Kluyveromyces lactis: one gene and its partner. The protein of the gene in region 1 interacts with the protein of each later gene in a pairwise test. Links are inferred from orthologs where the notes say so. Each region holds a gene or a part of one and is shown in the gene's direction. Other genes may lie near its edges.

Region 1 (4,599 bases):
GTAACTGCTGTATTCTAACAGAAAAGTATATATAAACGATACTAAATAAGATAATGTTCCTTCTATTGATCGTTCCGCCCTTGGTGCCGATGGACCTAGAAATTACAGCATCCGGTGATGTAAAGTCAAGGCTTGCCTTAAAAACGTTACATTCGGGCTTACCTCGGGATTACCTTTTTATATCTATATATTCGTTCTCAAACTTCAATACCAGTGGAAGCGTTAGCATAGGAGAAGCGACATACACCACACTATATGTGGAGGCCAGAAAATCATCTTCTAGATCCAGATGCTCCCTAGTACTGCCCCGTGCTTACCCTAAATGCACAACACTCTTTTGCTCGCAATCTCTCGTTTTCTAGCATAGTCTTTCCGCCATCTTAGCTAATAAGGTAATAGCAATCTTTGTAAGTAATAAAAGAAAGAAAAAACCGGGATGCTGCTAACCTGTCACAGGATTAGTGTGCAAACGTACTATTTCTTTGGTTGAGTCCCTAGTCTGATACGTCAGAGAGCGTACCCTTTATTTTGACGATCCCGAGCCTCTTCCTGGATGATTATATAAATGGAGCCTGTGAAGGTTCCTGTTCCCTTAATCGGCTTCTCATTTACCCCATATATAGAGTAAGTTTCTGTTTGACATATCCCATCTTATAGAAATAAAGAAGAATCATTTTCACACAGCATCACACACCATGATCCAATTAACCAGAGTTATAAAGTCTTCCCCAGTTGCTACCCAATGTTTGAGAAGAAACTTCTCAGCTTCTGTTATGGCAGGCACTACACAGAAGTCAAAGGATCCAGATCAAAGGATGTTCGATAGAAATAAGAAGAAGCTAGAAGAGTTGGAACACGATTCTAAAACCGACGATCCAAACTACAAACGTCCTAATCTAAAATCCTTGAAGCAGAAGGGTAAGGATGCCCCAATCAAACAGCATAGAGCAGATGACGGTGTCTATTAAGGCTAAACGAAATGCACCCTAGGATATTCAAAAAATACATGCGACAACTACAATCTTCAAAACGCCTACAGGTCCATGAGACCTGGCCTTATTTATGTAAGAACAAGAGCAATGACTAGATAATCATATATAATGGTACTAATATCATATATGTTTGAACAAACTGACAACAGTATGTCTTCCTCGAAGCATGTCTATGCCGTTCCGGACGTTGAAGACGTCGGACAAAATATGTGGGCATAGTCACGTGGAATCACGTGACTAACCTTTTCTTCATTTTCCCACCCATTGCAACCTCGATTTAGATCCACATAAACAATCTTGACAAATTGGATACATACTTACAAAGGGTTCAGTACTGTTAATGAGAAAGTTCCTGTCATTATAGACCAAAGGTTTGTTTCTGGTTTACTTGGTATTGTTGATACATTTGGTATTTGTGTGCTTATTCGCATCGAGAGAACTTTTTATGTTTGATTCCGATTACTGAGTGAGGCGGACTGTATTTCTATTAACAAGAGCATCAACGATAACGGATCAGATTCAGTTTTTGTGATTTCAAAAGAAACCTCGAAGGTTTTAGTTATTGAACTGGGATTTTACACTCTTTTCACCAACCACGATGCTCGAACATAACTCCAAGTTGTTTTGTAAATCACTTTCGCAGCTTTCAGCTGTAGCGTCGAAGGTTGTGGCTGAGGATGTTGAAGGTGAACATTTCAAGCAGCTCTTGGCGAAATGTATAGACACGTTGTCAATATACAAGAGCGAGCTGCGAAAACTTTCATGTGCTTCCAAGGACACACCACCATCGCAGATATATCAGTTGAATGAGACATTGTACGTTTACTATAAGATTGTGTCACAGATCGCATCTCAGGTTATTCCGGGGTTGGCCGAGTTTCAACAGATCAAGATGAATAGTAAGAAGGATTCAAAAGATAAAGAATTGCTGGAAATTTATAGTAGATTGGTTTCTGCACTAGCGAATGATAAACAGATAGGGGAAGTGAAGAGGTTTATCAAAAATCACAGTGAGGAAGCTGCTCATGACGGTACTCAACACTCTTATGAGAATGGGGAATTTGTGTCAATTTCGCAGTTGCATTCACTAATACGGCATGATAACGACTCATCTGGCATTTTACTCGTTGATATTAGACCAAGGATGGATTTTAACGATGGTCATATAAAGCATAACAACGTTATTTGCATCGAACCGATCTCGTTCAAAGAATCATACACGGATTCTGATATCTTGCGTAAGTCATTAATCACTGCATCGGATAGAGAAGTTGATCTTTTCAAGAATCGTGATAAGTTTCGACTTATTGTGCTTTACACAGACACTGATGAGCATACGAAATATTACTGGCAACAGTTAGAAGTTTTACAAGACATTCTTTGCAATAGATCATTTGATAAACCTTTACATCATACTAAGGTAATAGTTTTGCAAAATGGCGTAAACGCTTGGAAGGAGAAGTACCCCATGGAGTTGAAAAAAATAATGGAATCGGCAATATCTGATATTCGTACGAAGCCCGTGGAACACAATTTTCACCCTATGGCATTATCAAACAATAATAATATTGAAAAAGCCAATTCACCGAGTCACTCTCAAACTACAAGTTTCACACATTATCCTGATGCTCCATTCCTTACTAATGGAGCTAGTATTAAAACTGCTGGATTGGTGCCTAATCAGTTGTTGCCATCTACCAGTAATTTAACGAAAGCGTTACAGCAGAACGATGAAGGAAATTCTGAACCTTACAAACTTCAACCAAATGGAATCAAAAACCACAGACAGGAAAGTAATAATCATGCGAACGGTACAAATTGCATTGTGAGTTCAAACGGGAATAACTCTGTTGCTAAATCTGGTCATCCTAGTATCAATCTGGATTTCGCGATTGGTTTAGTGAATTTAGGAAATTCATGCTATTTGAACTGCATAATTCAATGTCTTCTCGGTTGTCATGAGCTATCATACATATTTCTGACCAATTCATATAGGAAACATGTCAATGTGAACAGTCGATTAGGTTCCAAGGGTTTATTAGCGAATTATTTTTCACAACTAGTACAGAAGATGTATCAACAGGGGAAACTACAGGCTTATAACAATACTAATATGGAGTCAACGGCTGTGCATCCAACTCAATTCAAATTGGCGTGTGGCTCGATAAATTCACTGTTTAAAGGCAAGCAGCAGCAGGACTGTCAAGAATTTTGCCAATTTCTCTTAGATGGTTTACATGAAGATTTGAACCAATGTGGTACCAATCCTCCTCTTAAGGAATTAAGTCCAGAAGCTGAGAAAATGAGAGAAACCATGCCGATGAGAATTGCTTCAGCCATCGAATGGGAGAGATATTTGACGACAGATTTCAGTGTCATCGTGGATTTGTTCCAAGGCCAATATGCATCGCAGCTCAGATGTAAAATTTGTGCACATACGTCCACAACTTATCAAGCATTCTCTGTTCTTTCAGTACCAGTTCCCAGAGCAAGATCTTGCACAATTTACGACTGTTTCAAAGAGTTTACCAAGCTAGAAACTTTGGAAAAAGACGAATTGTGGTATTGTCCTTATTGTAAACAGAGACAACCATCAACCAAACAAATCATCATCACACGTTTGCCTAATAATTTAATCATTCACTTAAAAAGATTTGATAATATGATGAATAAAAACAACGTTTTTGTCAATTATCCAAATGAACTAGACTTAACTGGCTTTTGGATCGACGATTACAATGGAGAAATGCCAAAGGATAACGGGGTTTCGTTGCCATTGCGTGGTCAAAAGCCACCCTTCAACTATAGACTCTTTGCTGTGGCGTCACATTCTGGCACGCTCTATGGTGGCCATTACACCTCCTTTGTGGACAAAGGCAGAGTTGGTTGGTGTTCTTTTGATGATGTCAGTTGGAGAAAAATTAGAAGGAAGGACGAATATATCACACCTAATGCATATGTGCTGTTTTACCGTAGAGTTAACATGTAAGTATAATAATTAATTAAGTAGGGAAATACAAAATGTAATCAGTGTTCGAAGAAACACCAGATCGGTTCCAATAACTACTCCCAATCATCATCTTCTTCGTCGTCATTTTCCTCTTGCTTGATAGCTTTTGATTCAGTTTTAGCAGAAGAAATAGTCTCCTTACCAGTGTTGGAGTCTTGTTTAGCCTTTGCAGTTTTAGAAGGAATAATTTCTTCTTCTGAATCCTCTTCCTCATCATCCCATCCTATTGCTTGTTCTTTACCTAGATCTTCCTTGGCACTTAATAAGTCACGCTTCTTTGAGGCCAAATTTAGAATCTCCGCCTTCTTAGTGAAGTAAATATTCCAAAATGTTGCATCATCAAGAGGTGCTGGGACAACGTCTTCGTGTAAGCTTTTCAAGTCCGAATCCTTGTTTAATAACTCTTGAATCTCTTCAAAATGTTCCTTTATTACAAAATCCTTCGGTAAGCTTGCTGCATTATATTTCAAATATATTGACTTGTCTATGGCAAGTTGTTTCAACTTTGTGTCTGTAATTGAGCTAAAAGCGGTATCCTTGTTAGATCCCTCTGCCTCTTTGGCATCGAAATCAAGCACTTCTTGAAACTGAGTAGAT
Region 2 (4,581 bases), about 1.2 Mb from region 1:
GTCCAGCGTTACGGACTGCACACGCAGTTATGCCCACCAATCCTTTGACCGGCAAACCGCTTGATCCTGTGAAAGACTTCTCCGATGATGCAGAGACAAAGTCGGAATCACCCGTATCTTCGAAACCACCTGTTTCGAATACTAATGTCAACTTATCTGGGTCAAAAGCAAACGGTCTAGATGATTTAATGGCATTGACTGGAGGCGTTAGCAGCGCATCGTCGACGAGAAGGAAAAAGAAATCGACTAGAGGTTACGTTAATGTTATGGAAAATTTATAACATCACTTTGTTAACTAGTTCTTCCGATAATTGAATTTCGAAATTGTTCTCAAGTGTATTGCATATAGCGTTAAATGAACCTAGTGTACTTCGACGTCTATGAATTTACTGAAAATAAATAAATATAGTCATTAATGATCATCTTTTACATTGGTATTTACAAGGTAGTATCGTAAAGCGAGGCCTTTTAATTACTAAGATATACTTTTATCAGTCTTTTTTAACAGGTGGTTGAACTCTGAACAAGTCTCCGTTAACTTTCATTCTTTCGATTACAATTTGGTTCGAAGTTTCGCTATCTTTTGGCAATTTCGCGTCTGGTGCACTCTCAAAAACAGAACCAGTTAATAGAATATCATTTGTGCTTGCATCGCAAAGGAAAGCGATATAGTCAATAACATCTCTGTCCAGTTTATCAGTTTTACTTTTCTTCTTGTCGAACTTAATTAACCTTTGTTTGGTATCAAACTTATAAATCAATTGAATTAATTCAACTGGACGACCGGGAATCATCATGGCTTGTGTGGAAACTAACTTTGGAACTTCATTGAATTTAATCAATTCCCAGTCCAAGGTAATGTTCGATGGGATTTGTTTGGCTCTCGCTGTCAAAGCCTCGTCAACCCATATGGACACTTGAGGTTTGATGGTATCCAGTTCTCTTTTAGCAAAAGCTTCATTAACTTGAACATATGTTTCGATAGCTTTGTTCTTCCACAGTAAAAAATTTGGCTTGAGACCTGATTGATAACGGAATAAGGCTACTTGAATGGTGTTCATACCTAACGTATAGATCTTCCTGACCAAGACATTGAAATAAGCCACTGGGGACGTTATTGGATTAGGCATATTTTTCTTGGAAGGTGCGATATATACCTGGTTTGCAACCCCCATATGACGTGGATTGAATGGGGCAGGCTTTTTAACAACACCATCGGAATCTAGAAGCCTTCTAGAGGTGCTAAAGAAACGACCTCTCTTCCCTAAAAGTCCAACGGTTCTTATTCCTCTTAGTTGAAACATTTGTTTAATTCACAGGGGGGTGTTAATGGTAAAGAGAATGGGATGTCTCAGAGCACTCTGGATGATTCCAATGATCAACTACGAAGAATGGTTCAGATACTACTAAACGCTGTCATCTTTATGTCAACCTTCATTCCTTTAATCTGCTGCTGTTGTTAAAATCAGATGTGCATCGAAATTTTTCGAAAGCTTCGCCTAAAGATCGTTTTGCACGTTTTGATACTTTTGATGCTAACCTTCATTAATCGACCTAGCCATCTACAAACAAACTACTTAACCAAGAACGATAAAGCACTTGGGCAATCAAAGATAGAACCACTACACCAGAGTTAACATTTGTGCGTTGCAAGACAGTTTGCAAGTACCTACTCTTTATTTCTTTTAAATCGATCATTTCATAATGAAAACAGTTCTACTTCCACTTAAAATTAAGGATACAGAGAGTATTAGTTGGACAAAAGGGTTAATAACCTATTTGAAAAGGTCATACGGATCTAGCCAGTGGTCCGTGTTTTATGATGGCGACAAGACGGCAGAGATTGATTCGTGTAGGACCACTGCTAATTCAGATCTTGCGCCAGAATCATTATTAGATCAGAACTATAAGTACGCCGCTATATTGGAGCAAATCTATCTAAGGTTAGGCGCACACAGCGGTTCATTACAGATGGATTTCACGTGGTATGAAGCAGAATATCACTCTAGGTTGTCAGAAAAAAAATTCAAGCAACATACTGTAGTCTTTGAGAAATCATCTGTCATGTACAACATCGGTGTTCTATTGTCTCAAATCGCTAAGAAAAAAATGTCTGATAATTATAAGAGCGCGATTCCTTATTTGAGCAAGGCAATGGCTTGCTTCGATTATATGTCGAACAACTTTTTGAATTCACCTTCTATCGATTGTGCAGCAGAAAATACATCTTTTCTCTCCACATTGTTGCACGCCGAAGCTCAGGAAATGTTTCTCATGACGTTGATTAATGGACCAGATGCTTCGAAAAGAGCATCTTTGATCAGCAAACTAGCACATACTGCCTTAAATTTGTATGAGAAATGTCAAGAATTTTATGAGGATAGTTCAACAGCAACTTTTGGGACTACGCCTTATGGAGAAGACAAATGGAAGGATATAATTACCCTAAAGGTTCACTTGTATAGGGCTATTTCGACATACAATCACTTGAGAGTGCTAGAGGAAGCTAAGAAAATTGGAGAGGCGATAGCTTATGGTAAGCTTGCGGTACATGAAATAAAAGAGGCTGGTTTCTATAAGGTATATGTGAAGGATGAGATTGATCTAACAGGGTTAAAAGCAGTAATAGAAGAGAAGTTGAAAAGTTTAATTAAGGACAACGATTTCATTTATAACGATTTGATACCAGCTGATGTGAGCATAGAAAGCATCAAAACCATGGACGCCGTAAAGCCAGTGACCTGGGAAGAACAGCTCAAGGTATACCTAGAGCAGGTTGTAGATCTCTGTAATGGTGCCTTTAAAGGTATAGTGCCTATGGAAGTCTATGAAAATGAGAGTATCTATTCTGAGGAAAAAGCTTCATTGTTAAGAAAGGAGGTCGAGGAGACGGATACAGCAGACTGGGAATATCAATCATTCATTGAATTTACTGACTTACCGAAACTTATCAAAGACCTTGAATCAAGATATGTACACGGTGGAAATGGTTCATCAGATGACCCTCAATATGAAATAATGAAGCAAAAAATAACTACTTGGTCAAAAGTTGTGCAAGACAGTAATTTCAAAGATGTAAGAGCGCAAATGCAAAATATTCTTGACAAAAGAAATGAGATTCTTACAATTTTATCCTCTGTCTCTCCTGATCAAAGGGAAAATGCCTTGAAAATCAAGAACTCTTTAGTGCAGGCATCTCAATCTGATGACAAAATATTTGCATCTATCAATCCATGCTTGGAGGAAGTTAATTTGTTAGCAAACCATCAGTTATTGTGGAGCATAATGAGTAAATTTCAGATAAGGAATGATGAACCAAGCTTACTTGATCTCGATGACTCAAAAAACCAACAGATCTTAGATCGCCTTCATAATATCAAACACAATCAGGAGATTCTACGACTACTAAAAGAAGAACGTACAAGAAATTTAAAAGATTTCAAAGAAAGCTTGAACAATGATGATATAACTCAAAAGTTGATATTGCTGACAGGTAAGCCGAAAAAGGAAATGAGGGTTATCTTCGAGGAAGAGCTTACTAAATTCAAACCGTTGAGTACTAGGATTGAAGCAACAATATTCAAACAAAACAATTTGATTAACGACATAAAAATCAAGTTGGACGAAGTTTTCAAACTTATTGGAGTACAAGATAAGACCCCTGAACAAGAAAATACAGTGAAAGAAAGACAGACCTTTTTCGATAAGGTTGAAAAGGCTTTTAACCAATTCGTTATATTTAGTACCGATTTGCCGAAGGGTTTAAACTTTTACGACACTTTGCTCAAGATGACTAGAGAATTAAGCCACGCATCCACCCCTGGACAATCTGTAAACTTGATAGATTCCAACACATTGCCACCTAACTTACCACAAAAATCTACACAATCTACAACACTTACAAAGAGTTTCGCAAATTTAAACTTATGCAATGATGTTAATGACTCGGTAACTCAAAGTCCTGCAAATCTCGCTAACACTAATAACACCGGAGTGAATCCAGGTCCGCCTCAATTACCACCGAAACCTCTTTCTACCGGTATCAGTGGGCTTGTCAGCGATCAAAAGCTGCAGAATGGACCGACATCCTTTTATAACAATCCATCTGTCTTTGATGAAAATCTCTATTCCAAATTCAGTAAATAGTGTTTGTGGTTATATATATCTTGAATTTAATGCTAATGCTAATTTCTCTTCTTCTGGTTTGGTTTTTTCCACTGTACTATTTTAGGTGATGGAACATACCATATATTTTCAGATCCAAAATCCGTTTCTGTGATTTTGACTATACTCACCAAGCCGCCATCCATCACCGCTAAAAGGAAACTCCGATAACCTTCCTTAATTCTCTTCATTTTCCGAGCATATAAGCTCAAGGTTTTATCTCCTTTATTATTCTTACGTCTGCTTTTTAAATGCCTCTGAGCATCAACATTACCGGTCTTGTTTGATTTTGTCACTTTTTCTTCGGCTATATCAACATCATTAATAAAAGGGAATTTATGATCTAATCGTTGAAATATGCCCTTAAAATCTTTGAGGTTTGGAAATTCCGCTTTCTTGGAGTTTTTATTATGGATG

What was found.
Region 2: the proteins of KLLA0_E10275g (region 1) and BRO1 interact in binary tests that used the Saccharomyces cerevisiae proteins (3 or more experiments, as listed by UniProt). The link is inferred for Kluyveromyces lactis from reciprocal best matches to the Saccharomyces cerevisiae genes DOA4 and BRO1.

What each region holds. Positions count from the first base shown.
Region 1 is NC_006041.1:905,085-909,683, forward strand, and holds KLLA0_E10275g (uncharacterized protein), read left to right. Parts: upstream 1-1,590; coding exon 1,591-3,981; downstream 3,982-4,599. Other genes in the region: FMP16 (Fmp16p), read left to right, coding at 696-968; DOS2 (Dos2p), read right to left, coding at 4,056-4,599. UniProt on the Saccharomyces cerevisiae protein: Ubiquitin thioesterase that acts at the late endosome/prevacuolar compartment to recover ubiquitin from ubiquitinated membrane proteins en route to the vacuole. Also removes ubiquitin from soluble proteins targeted to proteasomes.
Region 2 is NC_006041.1:2,120,322-2,124,902, reverse strand, and holds BRO1 (Bro1p), read left to right. Parts: upstream 1-1,704; coding exon 1,705-4,146; downstream 4,147-4,581. Other genes in the region: COPII coat assembly protein SEC16, read left to right, coding at 1-281; MBA1 (Mba1p), read right to left, coding at 492-1,304; tRNA splicing endonuclease subunit SEN54, read right to left, coding at 4,185-4,581. UniProt on the Saccharomyces cerevisiae protein: Class E VPS protein involved in concentration and sorting of cargo proteins of the multivesicular body (MVB) for incorporation into intralumenal vesicles. Fusion between endosomes and the vacuole will then target the cargo proteins to the vacuolar lumen.